Notamacropus eugenii: one gene and its partners. The protein of the gene in region 3 purifies or fractionates together with the protein of the main gene of each other region. This does not show direct contact. Links are inferred from orthologs where the notes say so. Each region holds a gene or a part of one and is shown on either strand. Other genes may lie near its edges.

Region 1 (10,317 bases), on a different chromosome or scaffold from region 3:
CCACATATCCAGCCTCCAAATCCACTCATTTCCAGGGCTCAGCATCTCTCTAACGTAAGCCCTTATGTCTACACTCACAGCCACCAGACTGGTTCAGGCCCTTAGTCTCCTAAGTGATCTCTGTCTCTCCAACCCACCCTCCACAGAGCCATTGGTGACCCTAGACAATCTGACCTCAACGTGCCTTTTCAGCCCTATATCGTTCCCCATCAGGCATCCTCTGGTTTGGCAAAAGTGGCTTTCCCGCTGTTTGTCCATCTCCATCTCAGGACCTCTGCACCTTAGGTACTGGGGGCTCATTCTCCCTCCCCTCCCCCATCTCTCAGAATCCCCAATTTCCTGGAGATTCAGCTCAAGTAACAGCACCATGAATATAAATTGATTTAAAGCCATTCTGCATGTACCTCTCTCCCCTATTAAAATGTAAGCTGTGGCTTTGCTTTTACCCTAGTAACCCATACACAGCTAACACCAAGGAACACTGCCCCACACTAGCTAAGGGAGGGTGGGCAGCACCACCTCTGCCACCCCCTCCACACCTGTCAGCCCTGTGCTGGCTTTCCCCACTATGGTGGCACCACCCAGACCCCTCCCTTCTGCCAACACAGCCCTCTTGGTCACCTCCTTCTCCAGGTACTGGCTCAGGATGTCCGTCTCATTTAATAACGTCACACTGCACTTCCCACTGCAAGAAGAGGAAGGAAAGGTCACTGAGTCTACAATTGCCAATCTTCATCCCCTATGATGCTCCCAAGCACTTGCCCTTGTCACTGGGAACAGGGGTCCTCTCCACTTGCCAGCTAAAGAGGAGCAGACAGTGGGAGAGAAGCCCCTTGTGGGTAGGGTAAAGAAATGACTGTATTCTGTCCCCTACCGTATGTGGGTGGCTGGCAAAGATTCAAATTGTCTCGAAAGGAAGAGTTCCCGGTGCTTCAGCTGATGTCTCTGCTGTTCTGAGACCCCTGGCTGCTTGGATTCCTCCTCAAATTCCCCTGGGAGATGAAAAGAGAATAAAGGCTAGCTGGGGGGGGAATGGGGGACTGTGCCAGTTCCTCCCCCCTCCCTCCTTGTGTCTGCCTCTCAATCCTGTACTGCCTTTCCTCCATCTTGGCCCCAATCACACTCTCCCCAATGCTGCCTCATCCCTAAAGTTGATCAGAAAGAGCTTCCATAACCCTTCTCTCTCCCTCCCCCCCCAAACCTCAGAAATTCATCCCAAGCCCCAAGAGTTCATGCTGGGATCTCAACCCTAGCCAGGCTGCCAACAGGATTAAAAGCCCAGTGAGGTTATACCAGGCTGTGCCTCCCCAAGCAGGTCCTCAAACATCACAGGCCTCCCCCCCTACCCCCACTCCCTCAACCCCCTGACAAAGTAGGACCTGCAGAACCTAATGTCACTTGTTCTTTATCTGAATCCTAGTGTTTATCTTTCAGAGAAAACTCCCACCCCAACATTAACACTATCCCTCCCCTACCAAAGGCCTCAAGCTGGCTAAGCCCAGCTGTAAAGTGTTAACAGGGATGGGTGCCAAGCAAAGGAGAAAGGGGCAGGATAACAACATAGCAAGAAGCCCAGACCCATAGGCCATTGTTTCAACTACCAGGGAGAAGGGGGGGTGGGGAAGGAGTTGGCAGCTGACTCCTCCCCTTGCCTGTGCTGCGGAAACCCAGGGCTAAGGCAAGGGGACCACACCCCCCAAACCCCTTCTGATTGGACAAAGCCAAGGTCAGTCCCTGCCAGATGGGGCAGTAAACCCCAAGGGGCTGTGAAACTTGGAGAGCCTTGTTCCCCATTAACCCTTTAGTGCTGGAACCTTGGTCTAAAAAGTTGAAAACAGACATATCAATGGAAAGAAATCAAAAAGGAAAGGGGGGGAAGAATGATAGAGATGAATTATTACTGGGAAAAGAAAGGGAGAAAGAGGAAAAAGGAAGTGAGGGAGAGAAGTTAGGAAAGGGAAAGAGGGAGGAAGAGAAGAAAACAAAGAGAAGGAAGATGAAGACAAAAGCAAAAGAAATGAAATTCAGGAGTTTCTTCCTCTTCCCAAAGCCTCCACCCTGTGAAGACCAACTCCTTCAGTATTTAAACAAACCACAGCCCCTATCCTAAGGCAGGACACATGGTGTGTTTGGGACTTCCTTCCTCTTCACTTACCCTAACACAATCCTTCTCATTATAACTCTAGTTCATTCAAAACTTACCCACAAGTCCTGATTTCTCTATGATTAGATTCATTGTTTCTACCCTCCATAAAACCTCCCATTTCCCACTGTCCTCTCCTCCTGAAAACACTGGCTCTCCTCATCACGTTCCTCCTCCATTCTACTTTTCTGACATGTGAAAACAAGCCCTAACCCCTCCATGTAGACCTGCTTCCCCCATCCCAAAATTCATCCCCCCCCCCCCAGCCTTGGTCAGGAAACCAGAGGAAACACCTGCAGAGACCTGCCCAGACCTGAGGACATGAAGGAGGGGGAAGAAAGACTCACTGGCATTGCTGTCAGCCAGGCTATTGAGGCTGCTAGAGATGTCCCGTCTTCGGAAAAGGCAGACAACTTTGGCCTCCACGTTCCCATTTGCAGTCTAGGAAGAAAGAGCAAAGTGGTAAAACCGGATGTTAGAGAAAGTAGGTATGTCTAAGGAAAAGGGGCCAGTAACAGGGAATATATATTAAGCACTCACAGATAAAACGACAAAAGACCTCAAGAAATTATGTGCCCAACAGAGTGCAGCTCAGTCTCAGAGCCTCCCAAGTCCCCTCCCACCTAAGGAGCTCCGAACTAGGCCTGGGCCAAAATAAACCCAAGCAAGGACACTTTGAGAAGCACACATCTAGAAAGGACCCAAGGCACTCCATTCTAACCACCCAGAAGACCACCAATACTGTCTAAAAGTGATTGACCAGTCTTTACCAGTAGACTCCAGTAAGGAGAAACTGGTTAATCCTGAGGCTACCCATTCATTCTTGGATATCTGAGAACTGGAGCTTCTGCTTAGGAAGTCTGTCCTCACATTGAGTGGAAACCTACCTTTCCCTAACTTCTGCCCACTGCCCCATGGAGGCCATGCTGAGGAAGTGGAGTTGACAACCACCCACACAAAGAACAGAAGCGCCATGTGTGCCTAGATTAACCTTCAGCTCACATTCTCAGATGTGCTTCCTGGTGAGGATTCAAGCCCCTTCTGACCTCCCCCCACACACACACAAGCTCACCTTATTGAGCTCCTCAATCCTTCTCACCAGGTAAGGATTGCTGGAGGAGTTCTCAAAATAGACGTAATCTGCAGTGGGGAAGAGCCAGGAGGTCAAGAGGGGGAAGCCTCTCAAAGCCCTGAGTGAGGGAGGAGGGATGCAACAGGAAAAAAGAAAGAGGGAGGGTGGAGACCCTCTGGGGGTCTCCCATCATCACATTTACTAGGTTCTGGACGTTGGCTATCCAATGGCAAACATCAGAAGCCAGCGAGCACTTTAGCCCGGGAGTGCTGACCAGGACATGGGCAGCCTGTGGCCTCCAGCCACCCCTGCCCACGGATTCTGGGCCAGGCTTAGCTAGCTCTAAGGCAGGGCAGGCGCTGTCCCTTTGGATCCGGAGGAGGACTCAGGATAGGGGTTCGAGCCGGTAAAGCCCGGGTTCAAATCGAACCTCCAGCACAGAGGAGGGAAAGTGACTGGGGCTGCTCAGGTGGAAAGGGTCGGGGGGGCTTTCCTGCCCTGGGACACCCGAAGCTCTTTACATCCGAACTCAGGTCCCGCCCATCAGACGGAGGGCCAAGGAGCCTCCCAATCGCCCGAGGCGGATCTGGGCAGGAGTTCTGCCCCGCGGGCAGCGCTGTCGCTATAGGGGATCCCGGAGCCAGCCAGGGCCCTATGGTGCCAGAGGTGGGGCGTCTGAGATCTGCCCTGGCACTCAGAGCACTGAGCCGGACTAGGTGACCAGCAGCCCAGAGCGCCCCGGGCCTCACTCCGCCCCCCTGCTGTGGCCTCGGCGGTCAAGTTCACCCACTTAAGTCTCGTTGCGCACCCCCCCCCCCGCCTGGGACCCCCCATGGGTAGGGGGATGGCAGCGCATGCGTCCTCTCTTACCGGGACCCCCGGCAAGGCTCCCCGTGCGCGCATGCGCCCCTCTCGTGCCGCCCCCCCCCCCCCCCAGTCGCCCGGCCCTCCCCCCCGCCGGTCCCGGTAAGCTCGTGCCGGTTCCAGCGGAGCCGGGGCGCGCGGTACTCACCCCCCACCCGGTACATGTTGGCCGCCATGGCCGCCCGACGGGGCCCGCGGGCGCCCGGCTCGGCCGCAGGGAGACCCCGGCGCTGCTCGGCCCTGCTCGGCCCCTGCCCCGGTCCCGGCCCCGCCGCCGCCGCCTCAGCCCCGGCTCATCCCGCGCCGCCGCCGCCGCCTCCCGCCCAGGACGCGCCGAGGCCGGCGCCGGGCCCGCTCGGCTGCTTCCGGCCCCCCCCCCCCCCGGCCCAGCGTCCCGGGTCCGCGGTTCGGTTCGTCCAAACAGAGCCCTGCCTCAGCGCCGAGCCCTTCCGGAACCCTTCCGGCTGCGCCCGAAGGACGGGCGCCCGCGCTTCGGCCACTTCCGGAGGCGCTTCGGCTCTTTCCGGCCCACGGCCTCTGGCGCTCGGGCATTTCCGCCTCCTCGGCCGGGAGGGGTGGGGCCGGGAAGGAGGGGCGGGGCCTAGACTTTAACCCTTTCCTCGCCTCAGCCTTGCAGCCCGACTCGCGGCCGCAGCAGGGAGAGTCGGACCTTTGCATACCCTTTGCTTTTCATTTGCATGGGCCCCGTTGGTCTTTTCTTTTCCTGGTTTGGTCCAGCCCCAGCTCAAGCACACTCCACTGCCCCACTCTGGTCAATCCTGGACCCTGAGAGCGGGGATCGCCCTTAGGGAGGGAGCACCGCGTCCAACCACCCTGCTGGTACCGAGTAGGAGACTAAGGCAGCCCCGAGGAAGTCCTCCAGCCCTGCTCTCTAACTTCCAAACCAGGGATCTCTCTAACCCTACCCCATGCCACCACCACCCCTCCCCGCCTTTCCCCTGCAGAAGGACACACGGGACGCTGCAGAGGGACTTGGCATCTGTTTTATTGACCCTGCTCGGGTGCAGGGTTGAGGAGGAGGGCGGGGGCTGCTCGGCTCAGCCTGCGGTTCTGTACAGTGTTGGGGGGTCCCAACGCCCCTCCCCGACCGGGAGAAGGCACGGAATGCAACGAAGTTGGAAGAGGGGGCTCCTGGTCCTTGGGAGGGGGATGGGGGCGATGGGAGGTAGGGGGAAAAGCACCCTCTAACCCCACCCACTCCATCTAGTCCTAGTGGGGTCAGGCATCCAGCGAGGAGGCGGGGGAGAGGGAAGGGGTGCGGGAGGGTGTCAAGGGGGCTGGTCCAGGGCCCCCACCACTCAGCATGCGCCACTGGAAAATGCTCGCATCCTTTCCTCCCAGTGAGATGAGGTGAGAATCGTCATGAGTGAACCGGACACTGGTGACGTGGCTGCCATGACCTCCGTACTTTCGGCTGGGGGCCTAGCGGTGAGGGTGGGGACAGAATGGGAAGAAATAGGTGGAATCTAGCCCAGTTATGCAGGACTTAGAACTTAGATATCACCATTTAACAAATGAGGCAACTGAGTCTCAAAGGAAGCGACTTGCCCAAGGTCACAGGGCCAGCAATTAAATCCTAGTCTCTTTACTCCGGAATGATGTGTCTCTTGGAGTCCCCTGCCTCTTCTGGCTTCGACTCACACCCCTCTTCCTCACCCCCACCCACTCTTCAGCAGCTCTCGCACCCTTCTTCCCCGCCAGCCCCTCCCCTGGCCTCTGAGTGGGTGAGGTGGAAGAGACCCCTCACCTTGGCCCGGGCGCACGGGTACAGAAACAGATGCACTTTGCAGAAGTCATCCGCTACTGCGACCACTCGCTCATTGTGGGACCGGCACAACGAGTTGATGTCAGTCCCGTCAGATCCGTCCGGCCACACGCCTACCAAGTCAAGCCCTCCTCATTCCTGCTTCCTCCTCCTTCCAAGCTCCCACATTCCCAGCCACCCACAGGTATTGTTCTCGGACATTCCGGGACCCACAATGCGGCATTGTCGGCCCCGATGCTTCTGACCTTTCCCTCCACCCAAGGGCAGTGGTTCTCAGTGTTGTAACACTGCCCTCCTCACAATATTCCCAGCTGCCTTCACCAGGCTTGGTGCTCACCATACACATGGAAACCCAAGACACACGTATAGGTTGCCCACTCGCGATCCCGGCTCTCATACCGATTTCTCAGCAGCTTACAACCCCCTGCCACGTCCCCTGAGAGGAAGGGAAGGAGGGAAGCTCCACTTAGGTCAGTCCCTTTCCATCAACCCAGCTAACTGAAGAAAATAAGGCCAGTCCAGAGGGGTTTGGGCTCCAGATCCTGGCAAATCCATGTTCTGGAAGTCACCCCTCTCACCCAATGCCCCTGGAAAATTTTTCTATAAATGCCTTTGCTTAGCACATTTTCCATGGATTAGGTTGATGAGATGATAGGATTTAGAGCCAGAAAGAGCTTTAGAAAACAGAAATATCAAATGTCAAACAGGAAGGGACCTAAGAGCACATAACTAAAGCACTCAGAGGGACCTTAAAAGCTAGAGTATTGGAGCCTAGAGGGAACTTAGAACCTAGAACGTCAGAACTGGGACAGACCCAAATCTCACTTTATAGATGAGCAAATGGAAAGCTGAAGAAAGGAAGTGACATCCTCAGAGTTCCCAGAGAGTAAGTAACAGAGCTGGGACTCAAACCCAGGATTCTGCCCCCAAATTCCACAGTCCCCCATCACCACCACCCTAGCTCTGAGTCATAGTGGGGGAGAAAACTTGACCCCAGTGACCCACCCCTGTGAACCCCTCCTCACAGTAGAGGATCTCGTAGTCCCCAGAATTGGACATGATGAAATTGCCATCCTTGGACCAGTCTAGGTGGGTGATGAAGCTGGAGTGCCCCTGGGGGAAGGAAGGGTAGAGGGCTGTCCAAAATGGAGCCTTCAGTTCCCACTCCAGTCCCAGGCCATTCTCTAGGAGAACTGTGAAGAGCTGGCCTGCCCCTACCACCACCAGCACCCCACCACATCCCACTCTGCTCATAGGGCACACTCACCGTGCATCGGCCAAACCGGCTGCACTTGGACCCATCACTGGACACACTATAGATATAGATCATGTTGTCGTGGGAACCAATGGCCAAGTAAATCCCATCTGAAGGAGTCAGTCAGTCAGTCAGTCAGTCAACAAGCATTTCTTAAGGGCTTACCTATGGGCCAAGCAGTGTGCTAGAAGCAGGAGATGTAATGAAAAGCAAAACTACAAAACCAAAACCAAACAGTACCTGCTTTTGAGCTTACCTTTGAATAGAGGAGACAAGGGGCCAGCAATCATGTATGTCAAAAAGAGGTATAGAATAATTGGAAGGTAATGTCAGAGGAAAGGAACTAGGATGGGGGTTGGGGTGGGAAGAAGGCAGGTCAGAGAGAGAAGCCTCTGGATGGGGGCAGGGGGTGGGAGAGGCTCTCACCTGGACTATACCTGACAACTGAGAGCTGCTCATTACCATCAGTGAAATCAGACACAATCTCTCGAGTCTCTGTGTCCAGAACCAGCCACCTGGGGTCAGAGAAGGCCATGAGGCCAGTGGCTAACGGCCCATCACCACCCCCAACATCTCCTCTTCCATCCCTCCTCCCCCTTCCCCTTCTCACCTCCCAGTGTTGAGTCCCACAGCCACAACTTTCCCACTGGGGTGGAAGTCAGCACAGAGACCCGTCTCCTGGAGGGGGAGGGTGGTCAGAGATGGAAGGCTGGGGTTGGGATTCAAGGAGATACTTTTCTCATGGGGGGAACCCACCAGATCACCCCGCCTGTTGATGAACTCAAAGCCCATCTCCCCTCAATGCTTCTCAAAGGGAAGGAAGGGCTAGCCCTGGGAGAGATGACTGGATTCCCTAAAGATTATGGGGGAGGTCAGGGAAGGGGGTCTCAGGAGATAAAGTTCATGGCAACAGTACCTTAAGATCAAGGCTCCAGGCCAGAGCGTGACACTCCCCATCCCACAGACAGAGCTGCCGGTCATGGCCACAGGTAAGGAAGCGGTTCAGGGAGGGGTGAGTACAGAGACCCCAGAGTTCATCAGTGTGGCCCTATGGGATACAAGGGCTGGATGACATTATAGGATCTCCTCACTGCCCTGCCCCACACTCCTCTGGCCCCACACAAACACTAACCTGGATAACAGGGGAAAAGCCCTGAGTCAGGTCTCCCCTCAGCAGCGCATTCTTTGTGGTCCCTACCAGCAGCTCTGAGCCCAGCCCTTCGGCAATGGCACGGACAGCTCCGAACTGTTCTGGGATCTGGAGGTGGGGGATGTCCATATCTCAGGAGGAAAGAAGTCCCTACAACCTTCCTCCTGCTCCCCAGCCCCATCTACCTCAGTTTCTCTCCTTCCCTTCCCCCATCTCCAGTCCCAGTCTTACCTCAGCCTCCTGGAGGGCAGTGAGCCCAGGCCCCCACTGAACCAGCCGTCGATCCCGCCCACCCCCGCTCAGCACAGTCCCGTCCCTCAACAGACACAAAGCGAAGATGGAGCCCTCGTGGGCTCGGGTCTGAGCTACGATCCCAAACGTCTCTGTGTAGAGGAGAGAGGGCCAAGATTGGTGGGATCAAGGTCACTGGGAAGGTCATGATACAGTGAAGGGGGAAAGAAGGATGGACTGAGGCCAAGCCCAGGTATAACGAATCCTTTAAAGCCTATAATGTAAGAGCTGGAAGGGGCCTTAGAACCCAGAATGTCAGAGCTGGAAGAGGTCTTAAGAACTCAGAATGTCAGAGCTGGAAAGAGCCTTAGAACACTGACTGGGTAAGGCTTTAGAACCCAGAATGTTAGAGCTGGAAGGGGCCTTAAAACACTGACTAGGTGAGGCCTCAGAACCCAGAACGTCAGAGCTGGAAGAGGTCTTACAACCCAGAACGTCAGAGCTGGAAGGGGCCTTAGCCTTTTTTGTATCATGGGCCCCTCTGGCAATCTCATGAAACCTAACATGAGTGTGGTTTGTTGCCTATATTAATAATTGAAGGAAATGCTAAATTTCTGTTAGGGGTTAGTGGAAATTTTTAAATGTCATTTTTTTCTCCTCCAAGTTTATGGACCTTCTAAAATCTATGCATTAGGCAGATCCCTGATCTGGTCCAAGGCCCTCATTCGACAGATGAAGAACCTGAGGTGCAAACAGGGTAAGTCACTTTCCCCAGGAAGATTCCTGGGCCCTCTCCAGGGTTGTATGGACTACCTTCTTTCTCTCAATTCTCTACCCCGCCCTCTGGGAACTGCCCTGGCTCTAACTTCATGGTAAGGTCTGGACAAGCCTTGGGAACTGGGGGGAATCAAATACCTTTAGCCCCACCCCTGCCTGGGGTCCTAGAGTCAGGCAGGCTCCGCCCCCAGGTGAGGATGGTCCCTTCTGAGTCCCCAGTGAGGATGTCTCCATCCGGAAGGAACACAAAACAGGGGACAAATTTGGGCTTCTTGTATTTCTGGGAGGGGGCAGAGGGTAGAGGTTAAAGGTGAGTCATGAGATCATCAGACTGGTCAAGGGATAAGTTTATACTTTTGGAAGTCAGGAACAAGGGAGCCACAAAAATGTTGGGGGGTCAGAGGTCAGGGATCAAATCTAGGATGTGTAGTAGGGGAAGGTTGTGGGACAATCCCCACTTGACCCCCATACAAACACATTCCCACCCATCAAGCCCCTTCAGATCTCACCCCAAAGACACCCTGTTTCCGGGTGAGTCCCCCACTGCCCAGAGTCCCTCCTCCAATAGACCAGTTCCAGAAGTGGACATGGGACTTCCCACTAGTGACGATACAACTGCTGTCTCGGGGGTTGAAGCCGACAGCCAGAACAGAGTCATTTGTACTCTGGAGGGAAGGAGACCTGGGGGTTAGACAGACAGACAGCCACCAGATCCCCTAAACCAGTCCAGCCCAGGGAGCCCACTTCCCACCCTGCCCCTTTCAAAGTAATATAAGCTTCAGGGTGTTACAGGGTCAGAGTTGAAGGGGACCTTAGAGGTCATTTCATGTTTTTCAGGAGAAACTGAGGCCCAGGGAGAAGTAACTTGCCCCGGGTCATCCCAGTAGTAGTAAGAGACAATGGTGGGAACCCTAGTCCACTTCACACTACCAAGACTTCCTGAAAGGGGGCCAGGGCTAACCACAGAGGGAGGCATCCAGAGACTCCAAGTGAGTCCCAAACCCTGACTTTTCCTTCTTCTATCCCCTGAACCATCAGA
Region 2 (10,103 bases), about 150 Mb from region 3:
CCTGCCCTCATCCTGGACTTGTGAAATTGATGTTTTGTACCCAAGTACAAGAACTAACATTTATCCTCAATATATTTTATCTTATTCGATTCAGCCCAATGCTCTAGCCTTTCAAGATCTTTTAAAATGCTGACTCTGTCATCCAGTGTGTCCACTGTATCTTCCAGCTGAGTGCCATCTACAAATATCATGGGTATGATATCATGACTTTACCCAACTCACAACCTCTGAGCCTCAGCTTTCTCACCTACAAAAAGGAGAGAATAATAGTTGTAGTATCTACATCACAACTGTGAAGATAAAATGCAATAATGTAAAAAAGCACTCAGTAAACTTTATGGCACTTTACAAATATCAAGTATGGTCTAGTTAACAGCAATGGTTATTTCAAAGGCAATGATAGGCAAGAAATAATTCAAGACTCTGAACCAAAATGTATTTCAATTTGTCAACATTCAAAAAGTTTGGGATCTAAAATTTGAATATAAAGTGTTAAAACTTCTTGTGCCTTCCACCCAAGAGCGTGTAAAAATTCCAGTGTACCAGACCAAAGGAAAAAGTTAGTATGTACCTTATTAAGTTCTTCTATCCTTCTGATTAGATATGGGTTACTTGAGGAATTCTCAAAGTAAACATAATCTGCAAGGAAAGGTAAAAAATATTTTAATATCTTCAAAATTAGCATGCAAAAAATAGTATTATTCTGTCACCGATCTAATTGAAGTCATGAAAATTATACAATTCATATTCCACACCTCTCAGCTCAGCTCATTCACTATGTAAAACCAAGCTTAAATAAAATATACAGTACATGGCCCACATGTTTGTTATCTACAGGCAATGAATTTCATTTATATCCTTATTTCAATTAACATGGTCAACTAGGATCATAGATTTAGAGTCATGTTAACAAGCATTTATGGAGTGCCAACTACATGCTAGGCAATGTGATAAAACTGGAGAAAGGCAATGTCCCTATTCTCAAGGAATTCATTATCTAATGGGAAATAAAACATGCAAATACTACAAAATATACACAGAATAAATTGGAGAGAATCTCAGGGTGAAGGAGAGAACAGACTTAAGAAACAGCAAGGAAGCCACTGTCCCTGGAGGAAAAAATACATGAAAGGGGTGGGGAAAGAAAGTTATCAAGTAAGGTGTAATAAGACTGGAAAGATAACAAGGGGGCAGATTATGAAGCACTTTAAAAGCCAAATCAAATTTTATATTTGATCCTGAATGTAAAATAGAGTCATTGGATGTGACTGAATATGGGGAATAATTTGGTCAGACTTGCACTTTAGGAAGACCACTGACAACTGGGTGGAGGATGGACTGGAATATGGAGAGACGTAAGGCAGGAAGACCTATCAGCAGACTATTGCCATAGTCTAAGCTCCAAGTAAAGAGAGCCTGCACCAGAGCAGCGTTAATGTCTGAGGAGAACAAGGGGCAAATATACAAGAGATGTTTCAAAGGAAGAACAAATAAGACTTGGCAAAGACTGTCTATGTGAGGGTGAGAGAGTGAGAGAGGAGTCAGTGATGACACCCTCATTGGGAGCCTATGTGACTAGACCTAGGAGGGACCTTGGAGATAATGGAGTATAACATTCTGAACTTACAGGTGAAGCAATGGAGGCAGAGAGTGTTTGACTTACCCATAGTTACCCTAGGAATAATTTTTAAAAAGCAACTCACATATACAAAAAGCTCTAAGTTTAAAGAAAACTGACCCATGCCAGCTCATTTGATTTTTCTCTGAGACAGGTGCAAAGTATTAATCTATTTTACAGATGAGGAAACTGAGCATCAGAAAGGTTACATGCCTTGCCCAGAATCAGAGAGCTAAAGTGTTCAGGTGCAATTCTAATCACTGAGTCCAAGTCTTTTCTGAACTCTATTTACTAAGTCAACAGAACTGAGTTTAGAACACAGTTCCTCTGACTTCAAAACAATGCTCTTTGCATTACCACAGGCTGATTAAACATCATTAGCTATAATTATTCAACCCCCACTGAATAAATGGCACCCAATATGCTCTCTCATATCCAATGCTAAATCTATGATCCCATGAAAGGAATATGATGATGGCAGTAGGTACAACCATTTTCCGCTCATCTCCAATTTTCTTTTAATTATAATACAAGTGTCACCATTTTCTTCATATGAGAACTACTTCGCGTAACTTAAAGGTTTCTAAGTCTGACATTTCAATGACCAAGTAACTTTTCAAAAATAGATCAAGAGACAATGAGGAAGGCTTAGTACAGCAAATGCGTGTGGACTTGAAAACATTTACATGCTTCACCATACCAGGAAGGCCTTTACCATGGGCAAGGTCCCCTGGAATAGACACCAAATTCCTTTTATCATCTAACTCCCTTTGGGCCCATTTATGTGGATATCAGAACAAGCTTTCCACAGAAAAGGAGAAAAATCTGAAGTATGGCTTGTTGTCTCAATCTAATAGGCTCACTGGAAACTTCCCACTGTGTGTTTTATTTGAGAGGCTGGATTTCCATTGTTATTGTCTCTCTTGGTGCCTGTTTTCCCTGTCTTTTTCCTGCAAAGTGGCCTCATTTAGCCAGTACCAGTGCAATCCCTCCCACCACTAGCCATGAGCTGAGCTAATGAGAGAGAAGCTGGAGCAGCCTCTCAGACGCAAGCACTGCACTCATCTGAATTATTATTTTGTCAGGAAGGGGACAGGAGGGAATCGAGGAGGGAGAAAGTTTGTGTTTCACGCTATCGCTCTCCTTTTCGAAGAGGCAGGCGCTAACCCAAGGCGCTGCTGCTCCCCATCAGCGACTGCCTCCTGGGGGAGCTGGGGCCCGGGCTGGGCTGGGCAGAGCAGGGCCCCTGAGCGGGGAGGGCGGAGAAGCAGGGCTCTGCCCCTGCAGACAGGCCTGCCTGGCTCTCCCTCCGCCCGCCTGCCCGCCTGCTCCCCCTCCAGGGGACGGACGGCCTGGCTCCACACTCACTGGGCCCCAATGCCCTGCACCCACATTGTGGGGGATGCTCGACCGCCCTTACCACCAGGAGCTCCTACCCCAGGGGAATGGGAGGGCGATCAGCTCATGACCCTGTAGGGAGGCAGGGGTCCACGCAGGCCCGGGGGAGGGGGAGGGCCTGGCAGGCCCCTGGGCGAGGGGACAGGAGGGGAGAGGGGGGTGCCAAGGAGAGAGAGGCACGGGGAGAGGGGGCGGCCACTAGCAAGGCGGGGGGGGGGGGGCCGCGGGGGGGGGGGCGCGCGGTGGGGGGGGGGGGCGCGGGGGAGGGGCGGCCCTCGCAGGCCCAGAGGGAGGGGGCACGCGGGGCTCGGCGGGGGGAAGGGATCTGCCCCCCACCTCTCCTCCCCCGCCCTCTCCAGCGGTTAGGGTTCCAGCTCTCCCGCCCCCTCTTCCCCCAGGCCCGGGTTCCATCCTACCTCCGACCCGGTACATGTTGGCCGCCATGTCCGCCCGCCCGCCCGCCTAGCCCAAGCCGGAGCCGGAGCCGGAGCCGGAGCCCGAGCTGAGCCCCGCCCGCCGCCGCCGCCGCTTCAGCCTCAGCCGCCTCCGCCTCCGCTGCTGCTGCTGCTGCTGTTACTGCTGCCGCTGCCGCCGCCTCACCGAGGGGAGGGGGAGGGGGAGAGGAGGGGGTGAGAGAGGAGGTAGAGCAGGGGAAGGGAAGGGAGAGGGAGGGGGGAGCGGCCCGCCCCCCGGGCCAGCCACGGGTTAATAGGGCCCTGCCCTCGAAGGGGCGGGCGTGGGTGACTGGCGGGAGATCGCTGGGGAGAATCCTGAGGGGACCGTGGAGAGAGAGCTAAGGGTCTACAGCCTGGGCTTGGTGATTTCAGGGTCTTAAACCCATTAGGGAATTTAGGACGATCCCAGCCTCGATGACCTCCTCCCCCTTTTATCCCCCATCCCCCACACACCTGTACGCACAGTTGCTACTCTTGCCCAATCACCCCCTTTAGGTTCTAGCTCTGCAACTACCCTTGGGAGCTCGTGTGTGTGTGTGTGTGTGTGTGTGTGTGTGTTGCAGTTTGGGTGCACATAAGCCATACGTGGGAGTATGCTGTGGTGTTTCCTCAACTGCATGTGTGGCTCTGAGTTTACTTGGCTAGTCATGCAAGGTGAGAGAGTCTGATACTCCTGTTTCCCCTCGAAGTGTTCAGAACCGTGGGAGGGAACCTGGAGGTCGGACTAAGCCACTGTCTTGGCCCCTTAGTGACTGCAGGGACAACCAGCTTCTTCTAGGGCTGAAGACGAAGGTACCCATGAAGGCAGTCATAGCTTCAGAGGTGTACAAACCTAGGGAGGAAAGAACCCTAGGCAGGGAAGAATAAGGAATGATGCTTTCCTCTTTGCCAATACTTTTGGAGAGCTCAGCCAGCCTTCCTTCTTCACTATAAGGCTAGTCTTGCATGTTGAAGGAACCTTGTGCCGAACTTCCCCTTGAACTAGGAACCACAAAATACAAGGGAGGAGATTGGTGGTGGAAGACTGTTTCAGTCCCTAAATAACACCATCAATTTGTAGGTCCAGTTCCTGTCCTCTTGTCCCTTGGAAACTGCCTTTCTCAGCTGCAAACAGAGAGACCTATGAAGGCAAATATAGTTCCAGAGGACTAGGAATCCAGAACGAAAAGGGGTGGGGGGCAGAGGACATAATAGAAGGGCTCCTTTTTCTTTGTCAATGTTAAGGAAATTCAGCCAGCCTTTGCTGCCATGAGCATCCCCATTAGCAAGAAGCACAAGACAACTAGGTTGGTAGCGATGGACAGTAACAAGTTATTTGCAACTGAGCTTTCCACTGGGTCGTTATTTTTCCCAATTTGGTCCTCTAAACAAACCACTTGGTTTTGATATCCTTCATATCCTGACAAAAACAAGAAACCAAATAAAGTCTGAAGCTAGCTAGACATCCCCGAATGAACCCAAACAACCTTATTTAGTGAAACTAAACTGTTCCCAAGCTAAATCGGTTCCAAACTGTTCCCAAACATTGTTGTTTAATAAACATGAAGATGCCCCCATGCTGTTGTTCCTTCTTTGGAGTTTCTGACTGAGAAGCAGCCGTCTCTCTCATTAATTCCAGGCTCCAATTCTTGTAGTGTTTTTCTTTTAATCTCCAGAAGAGAAAGACTACTCTTTTAGCTTTCTGACAAGTCATTTATTTACTTTGATACAATAAACAGAAATTTTTTGATGAAATCAAGACTTTATGTGTAGCCAAACTAGAGAACTCAGGCTAATAAAAAGAACTCCACCTTTACAAGGGCTATATGAACCTTTGGTTTAATGCCTTTTCCTCTTCCATAAGAAGAAAATTAACAATGGTGAAGTTGTCATGATTCAGCTTAAAGCTATCACAATTGTACTAGACTTTTATCAAAATATCCCCTGACATAGGGAAGCTCTACCTGTCTGTTTCAAAGATGAGCCCAGGAAGACTTTTATTTGTCTGGTAGCACAGGATCCACAGAATTGTAATCAGAACATATCCCAATATCACCATCACTTTATATCACCTGAATCAAGGCCTGTCTAATTTATAAATTAGATAATGATGTAAAACAGGATAACACTTAAGGGGTTCCCAGTGCTTGAAACTCAGGGAGACAGACTGAGAGGCATTTTCCCCTGTGCTTTTTTACAGAGTTCTGCAAGTAGGGAGAGAGCAACCTCTCCTTTTCAGCCTCTTTTGACCAGTATTGACAACCTACAGCAAAAGCACTTGGCAATGATAGATATGTGCTTCTCCAGTCCTGAGGTGGAGTTTAAGACACTGTTCCTGAACCCCAGTGTAGAAGGAATGATTGTGAATTCCTTAAGCAGTATAATTCTGGCATCTGTTCTACTAACCAGGAAAGATAAATTTTCAGGGAGGCTTTGCAAGTTAACTCCTAGACAATTCCAAATTTGTTTCTGATTATAAATATTCATATACTAGTGTCCTAGAGAAAAAAGACTTCTTCAGCAGTTGGCTTCTTAGAGAGGAAAGAGAAGCACCCTTAAGTAGGTACCTAATCTAACCCAGCTGCTCTTCTCAGCTTCTTTATCCTTAGTATTATTTTTACTTCTTTATGTACCACATTAGAGACAATAATGTTAGGATCTAAATATGGTGGACTTCACTGTCTTTGAGGGAGAAAATAGGTTGTTGTAAAAAAGTCTTATAGAGCCTTTGCATTTTTCATCTTCTATTGTCCTCCCAGTTTTATCCTTTAATGCGCACACGATTATCTGGCTTTATTGGGTTTCTTGCAAGTTTTCTGTAATTTTTTTTCACTATCACTTTTCATTATTTTGTGAAGTGATAATACTTATAATCTTCTGCTATCCTCCCTTTTGAGATTTCCCCTAAAAAATGTTGTAGACTGGCATTGCCTTTGGCTGCCATATATTTCAGCTTGGCGAGAAGATCATTGTTCTACTTAATGAGGAATTTTCTTGGGTTTTTTGGCGTCTTCATTGTAACAAGTGATTTACACTAGTTAAACTTGATGGTTGTTGAACTGAATTGAATTCTTTAAAATGAAGTTGTATTGCCTTTTTCAATTCCAGAAAAAAGAGAATTAAAATGGGTGAGAATTATTATCTCTTTAGGCAATAGTGGTAGAACATCTAGTACTCTCCTCTCTTCAGGAAGTAGTGATTGTTTATGTTGATGTCTCTTCTTTTAATTCTCATTCTTTTGTTTGTTGAAGACTAGGTTTACACCAATAAGCTTAAATTCATTTGATAAATTAACTTAATAAATCTCCTTTCTACTGACCATATTTCTGTAATGTTCCTAGAATGTCCCATCACACTTTTTGGCTTAGGTGGTTCAAATACTTATGTAAAAATTGCAATTTTATCACGTCTTACTTCTTTGGGTATTTGTGAATAACTAAAAAACAAAACAAAACAAACTTGTCCACTATTAATCCCTTAATAAGCTAAATATATTCAAGCCTTCTTCCCAGTTTACTTTCTGCTTTGATTAGTCCAAAGTCATTCATTTCTGCTCCACATCCATGACTAACTAGACCATAAAGATAGCATTTACAACTATTTCAGCCATTTGTTCATGGCAGCAGTTCGCTATTTTAAAGCCCTGAGTTGTCTTAATTGCATGTCATGTCTTCTTATTTTTATTTGTTATTGATTTTGATCCTGGTTTTAACCAGTCCATATCTAACTGAACACAGCTGATTGGAAAATGACTTCCCTGCTCGTAACCAGTTGTTTCCTATCCATTACAACTGAGTCAATTTCAGATTTAGCTGTATTATTCAGTGTTTGTTCTGTTTCACACCTCCTAATTCTGTTGTTGAACAAAACGTTCATGATATGTAGATGTGAAGCTTCAGTGTAATCTACAAGTATTTGACCTCTTTTGTTTCTTTTTTATTTTGTTTCATGTACTTAAATCATATTTTCCAACATATATATTTTGGCCAGCACTCCTTAAACCCACATGTGCATTACAGTCACCACGTATTAAGGCATAAGTTGATTTAATTTGCAAGAGCTTATCACATTTTTTCATACAATTTCTCTACCTTCTCATCCTCTACCACAGCTGTGATCTACACCAAGGAAGGAAATACTTACATATATGAAATTTTAGGTCCATCAAAGTATCCTAGAAGTATTATTATTGATTGGATAAAAGAAGGATCTGGAGCTTGGAACACTGCCTTGGATAGCAAACCTTGGAGAGCAGTCCTCTCAGGGAGACAGGACTGAGCAGGTATCCTTCAAATATTATGTGTCTGGAGATGGGGTGGACTTGGGGGAGGGGAGGGTCAATGGGAGACAGCAAAGGCAAACTGGCTTCTGGCCTCATCTTTGACCTACAACTACTCTCTCCAAGATTACTAGAGATCTCTTAAATGCCAAATCCCATTGTCTTTTCTGTGTCCTCATCCTTTCTTGCATCTCCACTTCATTTGGTATTTAACACTGTGGACGGCTCCCTCCTCCTAGACACTATCTCCTCGCTGGGCTTTCATGTCACTCTTCTGGTTCATCTACCTACCTGCCCATTCTTTCTGTTTCTTTTACCAGATCATACATGATCCAGGTTCACACCCCTGTATGTGGGTGTACCCAAGGACTTAATTCCCTGTCCTTCCATGTACTAGCTATCTTGGTAGTCTCATCAGCTGCCGTGGTTTCAACAATCATCCCTCTGCATATGACTACCAGGTCTATGAATTCAGTCCTAGACTCTCCACTGAACCAGAATCCCACTGACTATTGGACACTGGCAACTAGATGTTCCCTAGACATTTCAACTCAGATGTCACAAACAGAACTCATTATCTTTTCTAAAAAAAACCCCTACTTCTTCCTAATTTCCCTATTTCTTTTGAAATACCATCATTCTTCTAGTCACCTATGTTTGCAGTCTCAAGGTCATCCTCAACATTCTTCCTCACTCACAAACTTAATCAATCAGCAAGTATTAATTTGGATCAAATGTAATGAAAGGGACAGTCCCTGCTTTCATGGAGCTTATATTCTAACAGGAAAGATAATGTATAGATTGATAATAATAATAACTAGCATTTATATAATGCTGTACAGTTGCAAAACACTTTACAAATATGATCTCATTTGAACCTCACAACAACCCTGAGATGTAGGAGCTATTATTCTTCCATTTTACAAAGGAAAAAATTAAGGCAAACTAAAGTTAATTGACTTGCCCAAGGTCGTACAGCTAATAAGTGTCTGGGGCTAAGTTTGAATTCAAGTGTTCCTGACTCCAGATCCGTCTCTCTATCTACTTTACCACCTGTCTACTTATATAAGTATATTCAGAATATGAAGAGAATAAATACAAATGCATACCAAGTGGTCAAATATGAGGTGGTTTCCCAAGAAGTATACTAGCAATTTAGGAGATCAGGAAAGTCTTACTTAGGAAATAGTACTGGAACCGATGGGGTACTTCGGTGCCTGTGCTTAGACCCCAATCCTAAAATCACATTTCTTTCTAAAAATTATATTTCTCCCTGGCCTCAAAACACTAACCCAGGCAGTTTCTCCCCAGCCCAGGGACACAGCCTGCCCAAGCAACAACCGTTATCTCCCTTCCTGATACAGCTGCCAGCTGCACCTATAGAACTTATTAGTCTGAACCATCTGTGTACTGGCTGATCTGGCTGTGTATGGGTCATTTACATTGGTCACTGACCAATAATATGTATCCTAGACTTAGACGTATGTATACTCCCTTACATTTATCTTGTCTAACAAGACATTGATGAGAGCAGTCTGCTATTCCTTAGTGAGCCCTGACCATTAGTTGATTTAGTGATGTTTCAGGCCTAAAATCACACTTCCGTGTAACCCCACCTTGGGCTATTTCCCGATGAACTCTGGGTAAAATACCTGCACAGTAGATACTAAAAGTGCATGTTCCTTTAAGAACTAACCATTCCCTAATCCCTCCCTGAATCACCTAGTTAACATATTTGGCTCATTATAGAATATCCTATATAACCTTTACCTGGACCCCTCTAAATTTACAGGTCCCCTAAGAACTCTTGCCTGCTAAAAAGTGTAATAAATCTTTACCTGGACCTCAAGAATGCTTGAGTCCTCAAATTCATTCCAGGCAACTTGCCCTTGTTCTCTGGTCTTTGTGGGGGTCTCCCCCCCTTCCAGCCTTCATCAGAACTACATCATGAAGGAAGAGATTCTATAAGCAGAGGTGATGAGGGAGTGCATTTCAGGCATGGGAACAACTGCTACACAGGCATGGTGATAGAAGGTAGAGGGCAGAAGGACAGAGACAAGGCCCCTCCTCAGAGTGGAGAAATTTACAATGCAGCTGAAAAAAAAATAAGTCTGGGCAAGGTTATAAAGAGCTTTAAAAGCTAAACAGAAGCCTTTGTGTTTTATTCTAGAGACAATAGGGAGCCACAGGAGCTAACTGAGTAGGGGAGGGACATGGTAAGATCTACCATTAGAGAAAATTATTTTGGCAGCAGTGTAGAGGATAGAATGGAATGGGGAAACACTAAAAGCAGGGAAGCAAATTATGAATCTGTTGCAATTATCTAGGAGAAAGGTGAGGAAGGCCTGAACTAAGGTAGGTACTGTGTAAGTTG
Region 3 (10,331 bases):
CTCCAACACCCAGCTGCCCCTGGAGCTGGAGGAGATCATTCAAATTCAGTTCAACTCCCTCATTTCAGGAATGAAGAAAATAAGACTCAAAGAGTGGTTACAGCTGTAACATTCGTGATGCAGTAAGAAGGAAACTTCGCTGCATTTGGAGTTAAAGGATCTGAGTTCAAATTCTAGCTCTACACATTTTGGTGTGAACTTGAACAGTCACTTAACTTCTCAAGTTCTCAGTTTCCTCAACTTTAAAACAACGTAAAGGGAGGTGGACTAAAATATCTCAAAAATCCCTTTCAGTTTTACAACCATGAGCCTAAAAGTTCAATTTCAGGCAGGTTTGTCCTTCCCATTAAGCAATCACAGTTTAGTGTTTTCTTTAGTGACTGATTAAGCTATTTTACCTACTACGGCTGAAAACTGTGAGGCGTTAGGGGATCTGAGACAGCAAAGGAGAAAATAAGATTAATGATTGTGCTACTCAAGATCCTTCCTCGTGATCTTTTATTCTCTCCCTTGCTCCCCCCTCCTCTATCTCCCTGTGGGTCTAACTCTCCATCCCTCTCTATTTCCTTCTCTTTCCTTCCTCCCCTTCCTTTTCTCTCTCTCTCCTCCCCTTCACCTCCCTGTTCCAGGTGAACATATGATTCAATTCAGGGGGTAAAAAAAGAGCCACCAAAAAAAACCTAGAAAGAACATAAAATCAAGGTGTGGAAAGGGCCTAAGTGAGATCTAATTCAAGCCTCTCATTTCACAGACCAAAATAAGGCACCAAGCAAAGAAGAGACTTTGCCCATGTGATACATAGCCATGGTCTAAGAATTTTTTTGTTCTCTCAACACAAACCCTTAGGCCCAATTCTATTTACAAACACAAGCAATTCCCACTGGAGTGGGGGTTAGGCATCTGTTATCAGAAGGGTAGAAATCTAACAGGTCACACATCTGTCAATACCAAAGAGCCAAAAATGAAGGCATCTTGGGAGAAAAATTAAGGAGTTTTTCTATTTTAAGGGGATTTCTCCACTGAATTAGATGTCTTGGAGATACAATGACCATTTTTTTTTCTGGAGCAAAAATCAGGACATATGGTCTGATGAAAGTTGTTCTTTTTATAAAATTTCATTAAGAACATACTTGCTTTTCTCAAAATCAGTACTATGCTAGAAAAATCCAGGATACATGGCTGCCATACATAGAGAAAGGTATAAAAACATTTTTTTCAAATGCTTTTTTAAAAAATCCCTCAAAAGTTATTCAACTTTTATTTTGAGGATCTCCAAACAGAAAGAACCTATACCAAGGACATTTGTAGATGAAATGGCCTAATCTAACTGCTGCTGGCCTTGGAGATGGAAAAGACCTGGATGGAAGCATGAACGTCCATGTGTCCTCAGGGAAATCCACCTCTCAGTGGTGTTCCCAACCCTCCAAAAGCTAAAGAGAAGGTATCCACCTGTACAGAGTTTGAGGGAGTTTCTTTTCCCAGTAGTTCCCTACACCAGTGAAATCACAATCTCCATCCCTACTACCACATTTTGAAGTTTATGAACTTCAACCTCACAACTATCCTTTGAGGTAAACAGTACAAGCATTAACACCCTTTTCGTTCATCCTCCCCTCAAAAAAACGTAAGTAAACTTGAAGAGGATACAGGCTTGCCCAAGGTCAGAGAGCTAAGAAGAGACAGATCACAGGAGCTGAACAGATCCAGCATTCTATCCACGACTTCAGAGCACACTGGAAAGAATAGTTCCTTTTTCTGCACCTTGATTTTCTCCTCTGTAAAACCCTTATCTCCTGACTCCAATTACAAAATCATTTTCACTGCATCATCCTGCCTCTCATCGGATAATGGACTTGGAATCAGGAGGACCTGGGCCCAAATTCCACCTCAGACACTTACCAGCTTATGCGACCACGAACAAGCTAGTTATGAGACTCGGGTTTGTCATCTATAAAATGGGGATAATGATATGTGTAGCTCCTACTTCCCAGGGATATTATGAAAATTAAATTAAATAACGTATGTGAAGTTCATGGTAAGCCCTAAAGAGCTAAAAGACCCCCACCCAAAGACTTAATGCCATGCTCAAGTTGTGAAAGCTTAGAATAGAACAAAGGCTTTGGGGACACCCTGTATAAATGCCAGCTTCTCTTTATGATGATTAACAACAGCAGCCAACAAGCACTGATTTATCAGTCCTTTACTATACGCCAAACACCATGTGCTCCCTGTCACCCTGGTGCTGGCCGCTGCACTTTGTACCTCAGTTTCCAAATCTTAAGTGCCTTATAAAATTTAAAGGGCTAAAGAAATGTGAGGAAATTTAAATTAAAATACTGTACAAATAGGTCTAGAAATCTCTTACCAAAGAGGTCAATCAATAATCAATCAACAAGCAATGCTTAGGCCTTAATGCCTTTCCTCTGTTGATTATCTCCAGTTTATCCGGTATATGTCTTGTATGTATGACAAGATTGTTGTTTGTATGTGGCCCCCTCTCCCCATTAGATTGTAATCTCCCTGAGCTGGTAAATGTGGGGGAGGGGAGGGAAGATGCCTTTCTTTGTATCTCCAGTGCTTAGCGCACAGTAGGCCCTTAAACACTAGTTGACTTGCCTGGACAAACACTTGTTAAAGACTTACTACAGGTCAGGGATAGTGCTAGGCCCTAGGGATACAAGTAAAAGGAATGAAACAATCTCTAATCAAAAGAAGCTTACAAACTAACATGAAAGACAGAGTTGTGCCTGGTGCACACAGTTTGCTTCCCTCTTATCATTTTCTCCCCTTCCCCTCCCCAAAAAGAATTTTTAAAATATATTTGAGAGAATAGATGAACAGAAAGCACACCTCAGAATTATGATGACCCGGTTCAAAGACAGCCTCCAAAAGATACACAGATCATGGAACTTGGAACAAGCCTAAAAACTATCACAGTTAATAATAATAGCCAGCATTTGTAAATCACCTACTATGTGCCAAGCACTGTACAAATATTATTCCATTTGATCCTCACCAACCTCACTTTTAGGTGCTATTATCATCCCCAATTTACAGTTAAGAAAAGGTATGGATTTGTAGGGGTTGAAGGCATTTCCTCCTGGGGAAATTTCTCCCACACTGATTAAATCTAGTTCCACCCTATACATATTACATGTGTATGTACATTTATATATAAAGTGTGTATGTATATGTATGTATACATACACACATATATGAAAAATATACACAAGAGGTTCACGAAGCATTAATGTGTAGGAGGTGCTACTTCTAAAAAGAGTGACTCAGGAACACAGCATGGAGAAAGCAGGATGAAATAGAATATTTTCCCCTGACAACATTCAAACACTATCTCATGAATCTGGAAAGCCTGCTGGGTATTGGAGTACTAACTGGAAGAAGAGACAGTCATGTGAGCTTAGCTCCAGCACTGAGACCAGAAACAGCTTTCAATTTAAAGCACAATTCCATTTCAAAATGCTCTTTTAAAACTTAACTAAAGCCTTGACTTTCCTATTGGCCTCACATCAACCCCAATTACTAACAATGCCATCGAGCAAACCTTCCACTTCTGCCCCAAAGCAAGGACTCTTCTTCCCTCAGCTAGAGAGGGCGAGGGAATCAGTGTTAAAAACCACATTCACCATCTCGCTCCATCGGCATCTGTCTCCTTTGTTCTTGGCTCTTCTGTCTCTGTCGTATGTGGCTGAGGAACGGAACGTGGGTGCTGCTGGGCTTTGGATTAATGGAGCTGGCTTGTTTTTGTTTTGTTTCTTGCTGCATTTAAATGGTGTTCACATGAGCCTGTTCAAGTCTGAACCAGGACAGAACACCAATGTATGTTCCAAAATATACATTTGTTTCCTGGCTCCTATACTGAAGCAGCATTTGCTTCCCCTTCCACTACAAGCAGGCCCTGTGCAGCTCATATATCAGGCTCCTAGTACACACACAGCTCCCTTCAGATCTACAGCAGACACCTCCATTTCATTGACCATCGGGCATTCCTTCCCCCACATCCGCCTCTGGGATCACACACAGACTCCTCAGAGCTCTTAGCTCTCCAGCCCAGGAAATGACGCATCATTACTGGGAATTGTTTTAGTCTCTCAGGCTGGAAAAGACAGGCCTAGTGATTACCAGTCCCGGCCCTGGGCCTGTACTAGATTTTTGGGTGTCTTAAATTACTTCATGCTGTTGACAGCACAATTGTCTGGACCATCTCCTATGTGGTAGCCAGTAATAAGCCTGGATAAAAGAAGGATGATAACAAATGGCTACTGAAATCACTGGGAGGGGGAGGGGAGGAAAGTGTCAAAGCCAGTTGCTAACATAGCCGAACAGATCTAGATCTGGCTCTAAGCCACAATTTGTGAGACCTTAACTTGTTTACTGATCACGGCTCCTACAAAGCTGATTCTCTGAACTTAATTTAGATTTAGAGTGGGAAGGGGACTTAGGGGTGATCTTGTCTACCCCCTTCATAAAGAAAATGAGGCCCAAATGAAGTGCCCAAAAATTGACATCGTTGATGATAGTTAAGGGTCAGAAGTCGGATTCCAAAACTCAAGTCCTTTCCCCCAAATCCAACACATTTTCCACTCTACTACACCATGAGATCTGCTGAATTTATGTATTTAAATTTTATTTTTAAAAAGGATTCTCTAGGAGAATGTCCATTCTTCATAGTCTGGGTTTCTTTTTCTACTTTCTCCTCCATCGCATCCCTGGAAAACACAGGCTTTTCCAGCAGCAAACAACTGTGTTTACCCTCTATCCATCAGCACAAAGTATTTCCACAAAGAAGTACCAGTTCCATACTTGTAACCAGGAGCCCATTTTGGCAAACTGGACAATCCAAGATGAGTCTAGCAAACAAAATGAAGACTGGAAAGCCTTCAGGGCTTGCTCGCTCTATTCCAAATGAATTTACAAACACACTACATCTACAGGAAAGCACCGTTCCCAGAATGAAGCCTGAGCATAAGCACAGAACCCAGATATTATTGGACCATCAGGTATAAATGAAGAGATTGCGCTTGGGGTAATTGCTAACACTCTCCATTGCCTACTTCAAACATGACCACATGCTGTTCTCTAGGGCAACAAAGCAGAAAACAGTTAATAATTTCAAAGCATTTTTTTTAAAGACCCAGAGAGCAGGGTACCCAAACAGGACATGCTACTTAGAAGCAACAGAATACTCCCAAGCCAATACTTAAACTATAATGAACCAAAACCCCAGAAATGCCTGGGGGAAAACACACACACACAGAAAGGGGGGGAAGGGGTGTAGAGGGAGGCGGGGAAAACACCGGGAGAGACAAAGCCCCAAAGAGAAAGCAGGCCCCAGCCAAATCAGACACGTGCAAAAACCTGGAGACTTACAGTTCTTCAGGAAGCCCTGATTTTCTACACTATAATCCTAGATATTTCAAAACAAGCCAAATCACACTAAAAAAGAAACTATTTTAGAGAGCCACCCTGTATTACAGCCCTTCACAATCTCTGAAACTAGATAGACACTGTTTCTGGAAATGGGGGCTTTTATTTAAGGTCCTCAAAGTTAGCATGTAAAAGCAATCTCTTCTGGCTGGGCACATCTATTTCCAGAACAGATATAACTGATATCAAACCCAACCAAGCCTTGATATCAGGGACCTCCTGTTCATGTGAAATTCTCATTGAGATCAATGAAAGGTTCTGAGGCTTCTCGCAGGTTTGGAGTATGGAGAAACAGTCAATTTCCAAATATGAAACAGACATTAGGAAATACGTAACTAAGGGGAGGGGGGGGCCGCAGGAACAAGATCCAGAGGAAAATATAAATTCAAAGCACAGAAGGCCAGAAACCCAAAACCCAGTGAAAAAGCACTTACCAGCCATTTAAAAATTAGATGGGTGATGGTCAGCAGGAACAGCCACATCAGAGGAGGGCTTTCAAGAGGCTTCTGCTTGCAGGCTTTTTCCCCGGCTGGCTTGTTATTAGTGAGAAGGCCTCTCCCAGGGAGGAGGAGGGAAAGGAGAGGCTGGGAGTTATCTCCTCCTATTGCTGCGACTGCTTTCTCTTATTAGGTTCCCCACTGGTGCTAGAATCCCACCACCTCTTTGCAATGTCCTGTGTACAGTGCAGCCGAAGTGGCCTAGCCCACCAAAGCCGTTTATAGATATTTGCTATGGCGGTAATCTATCAAACGTGACAGCAGTGCAGTTCAGATTAAAGTCTTTGTTGCAATTCACAGCAACAGGCCTATTTGCACCAAATGCTATACATGCAACAGAATAGAAACTGTCCTGCTCATTAATGCAAGGTAGAGCTGCAGCATGATCAATAGTTCTGTAAATATGGCATGCCTCTCGGCCATGCTAGTTAGGAAAAGGGCACCATCTTGTGCGCTCTCAGAATGTAACCCAAAGGAGCTTTTTTCTGCTGGAATGTCAGCCAACAGGAACTCAGAACAGCAAGGGCTAAGCCCACACCAACCAGGGTCAGAAAGCTATTAAGGGGCATATTCACATGCAAAAGGTGAAAACAGCAGAACCAGCTTTGCAAGACTGAGGGTGTAGCAAGTCTGGGGAAATGAGCCTGATTTGCAAATGAATTCCCGGCTGCTTCTGGACAATTGCTAGACCAGAATGAAAGAAGTTTTTCGACCAGGTCTCTAATCTCCTTTAGGATGAAGCCTTAGGAAACTAGGGGACATCTCTACAGGAATTTCCTAGTTGGGGTAGTGCCAGCTGGTGTGGAATTTTACAAGCAAAATAAAGGGCCTCCCCAAATCCCAGATATATGCAGTCCTTATTACAGCTTGAGCCCTGCAGGTCTGGCTCAGTTCAATTTATTTACATGTGAAAAAAAGTACTTAAAAGTCAGGCCAAATCAGGGTGAAGAAAATGCCGTACGACTGGTTTCCTTTGGCTTTTAAATGCCTGGTTACCAATAATTCCAAGTTCACCAGTTCTGGAGCGTAACTAGCAGGTAGGCGGAATTCCTGTCTGCATTATTTATCATAGGAGCCCCAGCATTCTGCTAAAGCACCAACGTCCGCTCCGTGCAGCTGGCAGCGTCCAAGGGAGCGTTTGGCCAGCACATTTACAAAGCAGGAAGGCTTCCCAGACAGGAGAAAGGTTCTACTCTTTAAGGAATAAATGGGGGGCGGGGGGGGGGGGGGGAGGAGAAGAAATCAGAGGGAGAAAAGCTACGAGAGGGGAGGAGAGAAAAGAGGGGCAGGTGATTCTTTAAATTAAGAGCAAAACATGGATCATGTTCTGCCCAAGGCCTCGCTTTCCCCCAAAGCCCACCCATGTCAGGGAAATTTCCAAAAGGCGCCAAAACATGCTTCACCCGTCCCACCTCTGACCTCACTTCATTCAGCAGCCCTGGGGGGGAAGATCATGTTCACGGTATACAGTAAACCACCCTGAGTTTGAGTCTCAGCTTGAATGGTCTGGCTGGGTCACGTCAACAAGCATTTATAAAGCTCCTACTACTTACCAGGCCCAGGGCTAGGCTGGGAGATAACAAGGAGAGGCAGAAGACACACCCTGCCCTGGAAGCCCAGTCTAGTGGGGAGAGAGGGAGGGGGACAAGATAGAGAGAGAGAATAAAATGGAGATGATCTGCTGGGAAGGCTCCTAGCAGAAGGTGGGTGATAACTGGGGCCTTCAAGGAACTCGAGGCAGACAGGCTACTGTGTGACCAGTCAAGAGAAGAACCAGGACTCTATCACCAGATGGAGGGCCCTTTGCATAATATGTAAATTTAACATCAATTATTATATATAATATGTAAAATTAATTTCTCTGGGCCTTAGCTCCTCTACTCCAAAATGATAATGATGATTGTAGCTAATAATGACAATAATCAATATCTCCCCAGTTGTTGTAAAGCCATAAATCACTATTAAAATGTGAGCAGTGACTATCACTGTTACAGGAAACCTCTCTTCATCATCGTGACTGCTCCTCTTCGAGAACGAAGGATGAAGAGAAAGTATGGCACAGAAGAAAGAGGGACATCACAAGACCTGGGTTCAAATCCCAGCTTTGTCCCTTAACAGTTGTTTGGTCATAAAACACGTCATTTCAGCCCTGGACTTCAGGTTACTCATCTGTAAAATGGGAAGAAAAAAAGCTATACTAATCCTTGTGGTTATTCAATGAGAGGATAAGTGTAAAACATTCTGTAAAACCACAATGAAAACACTTCAGTTAGTAGCAGTACTACTAGACGGATGGGTTACCTTCTCCGGTTTTAGAACTTCACTTAATTCCATGCATTGAAAATATCTACAATCTACTATAGACAAGGGCTAGGAGGTTAGAACTATGGCAATACACAACTGAATTGTCATCTTTATCACCATATAAACAAAAATTATGTAGAAGGGTCCAAAAAAACCTCATACAAATTTGTGATACGGGGTGTAAAAAATAATTACTCTCCCCTTTTAAAAAAAAGGAGGGGGTATGAAAGATTGTGTTGGACATGTGAATCCCCCACACATCAAAACAGGATGATTATTAACCAACATTAAGACCATGTGTTCATTTATGTTCTACAACTATTACTCTAGTCTCAACAAGCCTTCACTAAAAGCCCACTAGATGCCAGGGACTTAGCTAGGCCCCAGCGTAGCAAAGACAAAACAGCTGCTACCCTCAAATAACTTCCAATCCTACTCCTGAGAAACTAAAGGTTCAAGGATGACCAAAGGCAAAGTAATTTCCAAAGATAAGCCGCTAACGGTGGTTACAGGTAGCACTTTATTCGAGCCCTGAAGGAGAGAAACATTAAGAGGGGGTAAAGAGTGAGATAACAGTAGACAGAGCATGAGTCCTGGAGTCAGGAGGACCTGAGTTGGAATTCATCTCAGATACTTACTAGCTGTGTGACCCTGAGCAACTCACTTAACCCCAACTGCCTCCAAAAACAAAAACAAGAAGTAAAGAGGAAGAACATGGCAGGAAGAAAAGACAGAGGGATGGGAGACAGCAGAACAATAGAAAAAACCTAGATCTGGGTTAAAATCCTTCCTCTGACACTAACCCTGTGTGACCTTGGACAAGTGATTTTAACCTCTTGGCCTCAGTTTCCCCATCTGTAAAAAGGAGGAGACTGAACTAGACAGACTCTAAGGTCCCCCCTTCCAGCTCTGAATCTGCAATCCTTTGAACATCCTACCTGGAAAGCTGCAAAGAAGTCATTTTGATGGGAAAACTAAGCTATAAATGATTTCTGAAAACAGTCTTATTTCCTCTGCATTTCTACCTGTTCCTAGCCATGCGTAGCACGTGGTTGGTTGGTGAATATTTGTTAATGATGAATGCCCAATTCCGCTCTGAACGCATGATTAAAACAGAAGAATGCATTCCCCCAGCTTGGCTCCCCTCAGAATCCAGAACTATGGCAACTCTAAGACTCAAAGAGAAGTAACACTGAGAACTTCTGCCTCATCAAATGCAGTCAAGGAAAATGAAAGAATCATAAAAACCTAAAATGCCAGAGCTGGTAGACAACAACAATGGAGGTAATCGCCAGCATCTACATGGCTCTTTAAACTTTACAAAGTGCTTTAAAAAAATCGTCTCATTGAATTCTCACAACTCTGGGGGCCATTTTATGGATGAGGAAACTGAGAGACAGTGCTTGATCTGCCCAGGTCACACAGCTAGAAAAACCTTCTGAGGCAGGATTTAAACTCAGATCTTCCTGACTCCAGGTTCAATACTCTATCCACCAGTGTCACTGAGATGCATCAAACATACTATGTCAGAGCTGGAAGGGGCCACAAAGATGATCTAACACAATTGTCTTATTTTCACAGAAGGACAAACTGAGGCCAAGAAAAGAAAAATGACATATCTGAGATCTCACAGTGAATTTAATGGCAGAGGTGGGACTAGAAGTGGCTCTAGGCCTCCTGCTCTTTCCATGATGACTTTACAAAGAGAGAAAAAATTAAGGGGAAGAGAATTCCCTATTATATAGGTGAAGAAACCATCAACATCCTATGTGGGAGCAAGCTCAAAATTTAAAACTTCTCTGGTCCAAAATGGTTTTTGGGATGGAGGTGGAGACAGCATTATTATGTAGCTCCCCCATAGAAAGGGGGAAGGGAGAGCCTATTATGCACCAAACACTGTGCTAAAAGCTTTTCAAACATTATCTCATTTGATCCTTATAGCAGAGAGGTAAGCGCTATTACTACTACTAACATGACTACTTCAGCAGCTACTATTATCCTCCTCATCCTCATCCTCATCATCTTCCTTCTACAGTTAAAGAAACTGAGGCAGCCAGAGATTAAGTGACTTGCTCAGAGTTCCAC

The links.
Region 1: the proteins of ZMYND8 (region 3) and MTA2 purify together in Homo sapiens (affinity purification with mass spectrometry; 3 studies listed by BioGRID and IntAct, with this or other methods). This does not show direct contact. The link is inferred for Notamacropus eugenii from reciprocal best matches to the Homo sapiens genes ZMYND8 and MTA2.
Region 2: the proteins of ZMYND8 (region 3) and MTA3 purify together in Homo sapiens (affinity purification with mass spectrometry, with the first as the bait; 3 studies listed by BioGRID). This does not show direct contact. The link is inferred for Notamacropus eugenii from reciprocal best matches to the Homo sapiens genes ZMYND8 and MTA3.

Annotation. Positions count from the first base shown.
Region 1 is NC_092873.1:15,724,185-15,734,501, forward strand, and holds the start of MTA2 (metastasis-associated protein MTA2), read right to left. Parts: upstream 4,364-10,317; 5' UTR 4,256-4,363; coding exon 4,228-4,255; intron 3,284-4,227; coding exon 3,216-3,283; intron 2,585-3,215; coding exon 2,491-2,584; intron 993-2,490; coding exon 875-992; intron 686-874; coding exon 622-685; intron 300-621; exon of another isoform or gene 218-299; coding exon of another isoform or gene 185-217; intron 1-184. Other genes in the region: EML3 (echinoderm microtubule-associated protein-like 3), read right to left, coding at 5,319-5,522, 5,848-5,978, 6,203-6,301, 6,891-6,978, 7,133-7,230, 7,547-7,635, 7,731-7,798, 8,037-8,168 and 4 more. UniProt on the Homo sapiens protein: May function as a transcriptional coregulator. Acts as a component of the histone deacetylase NuRD complex which participates in the remodeling of chromatin.
Region 2 is NC_092872.1:667,599,519-667,609,621, forward strand, and holds the start of MTA3 (metastasis-associated protein MTA3), read right to left. Parts: upstream 3,775-10,103; 5' UTR 3,461-3,774; coding exon 3,433-3,460; intron 640-3,432; coding exon 572-639; intron 1-571. UniProt on the Homo sapiens protein: Acts as a component of the histone deacetylase NuRD complex which participates in the remodeling of chromatin.
Region 3 is NC_092872.1:519,722,377-519,732,707, reverse strand, and holds the start of ZMYND8 (MYND-type zinc finger-containing chromatin reader ZMYND8), read right to left. Parts: upstream 4,049-10,331; 5' UTR 3,784-4,048; coding exon 3,645-3,783; intron 1-3,644. UniProt on the Homo sapiens protein: Chromatin reader that recognizes dual histone modifications such as histone H3.1 dimethylated at 'Lys-36' and histone H4 acetylated at 'Lys-16' (H3.1K36me2-H4K16ac) and histone H3 methylated at 'Lys-4' and histone H4 acetylated at 'Lys-14' (H3K4me1-H3K14ac).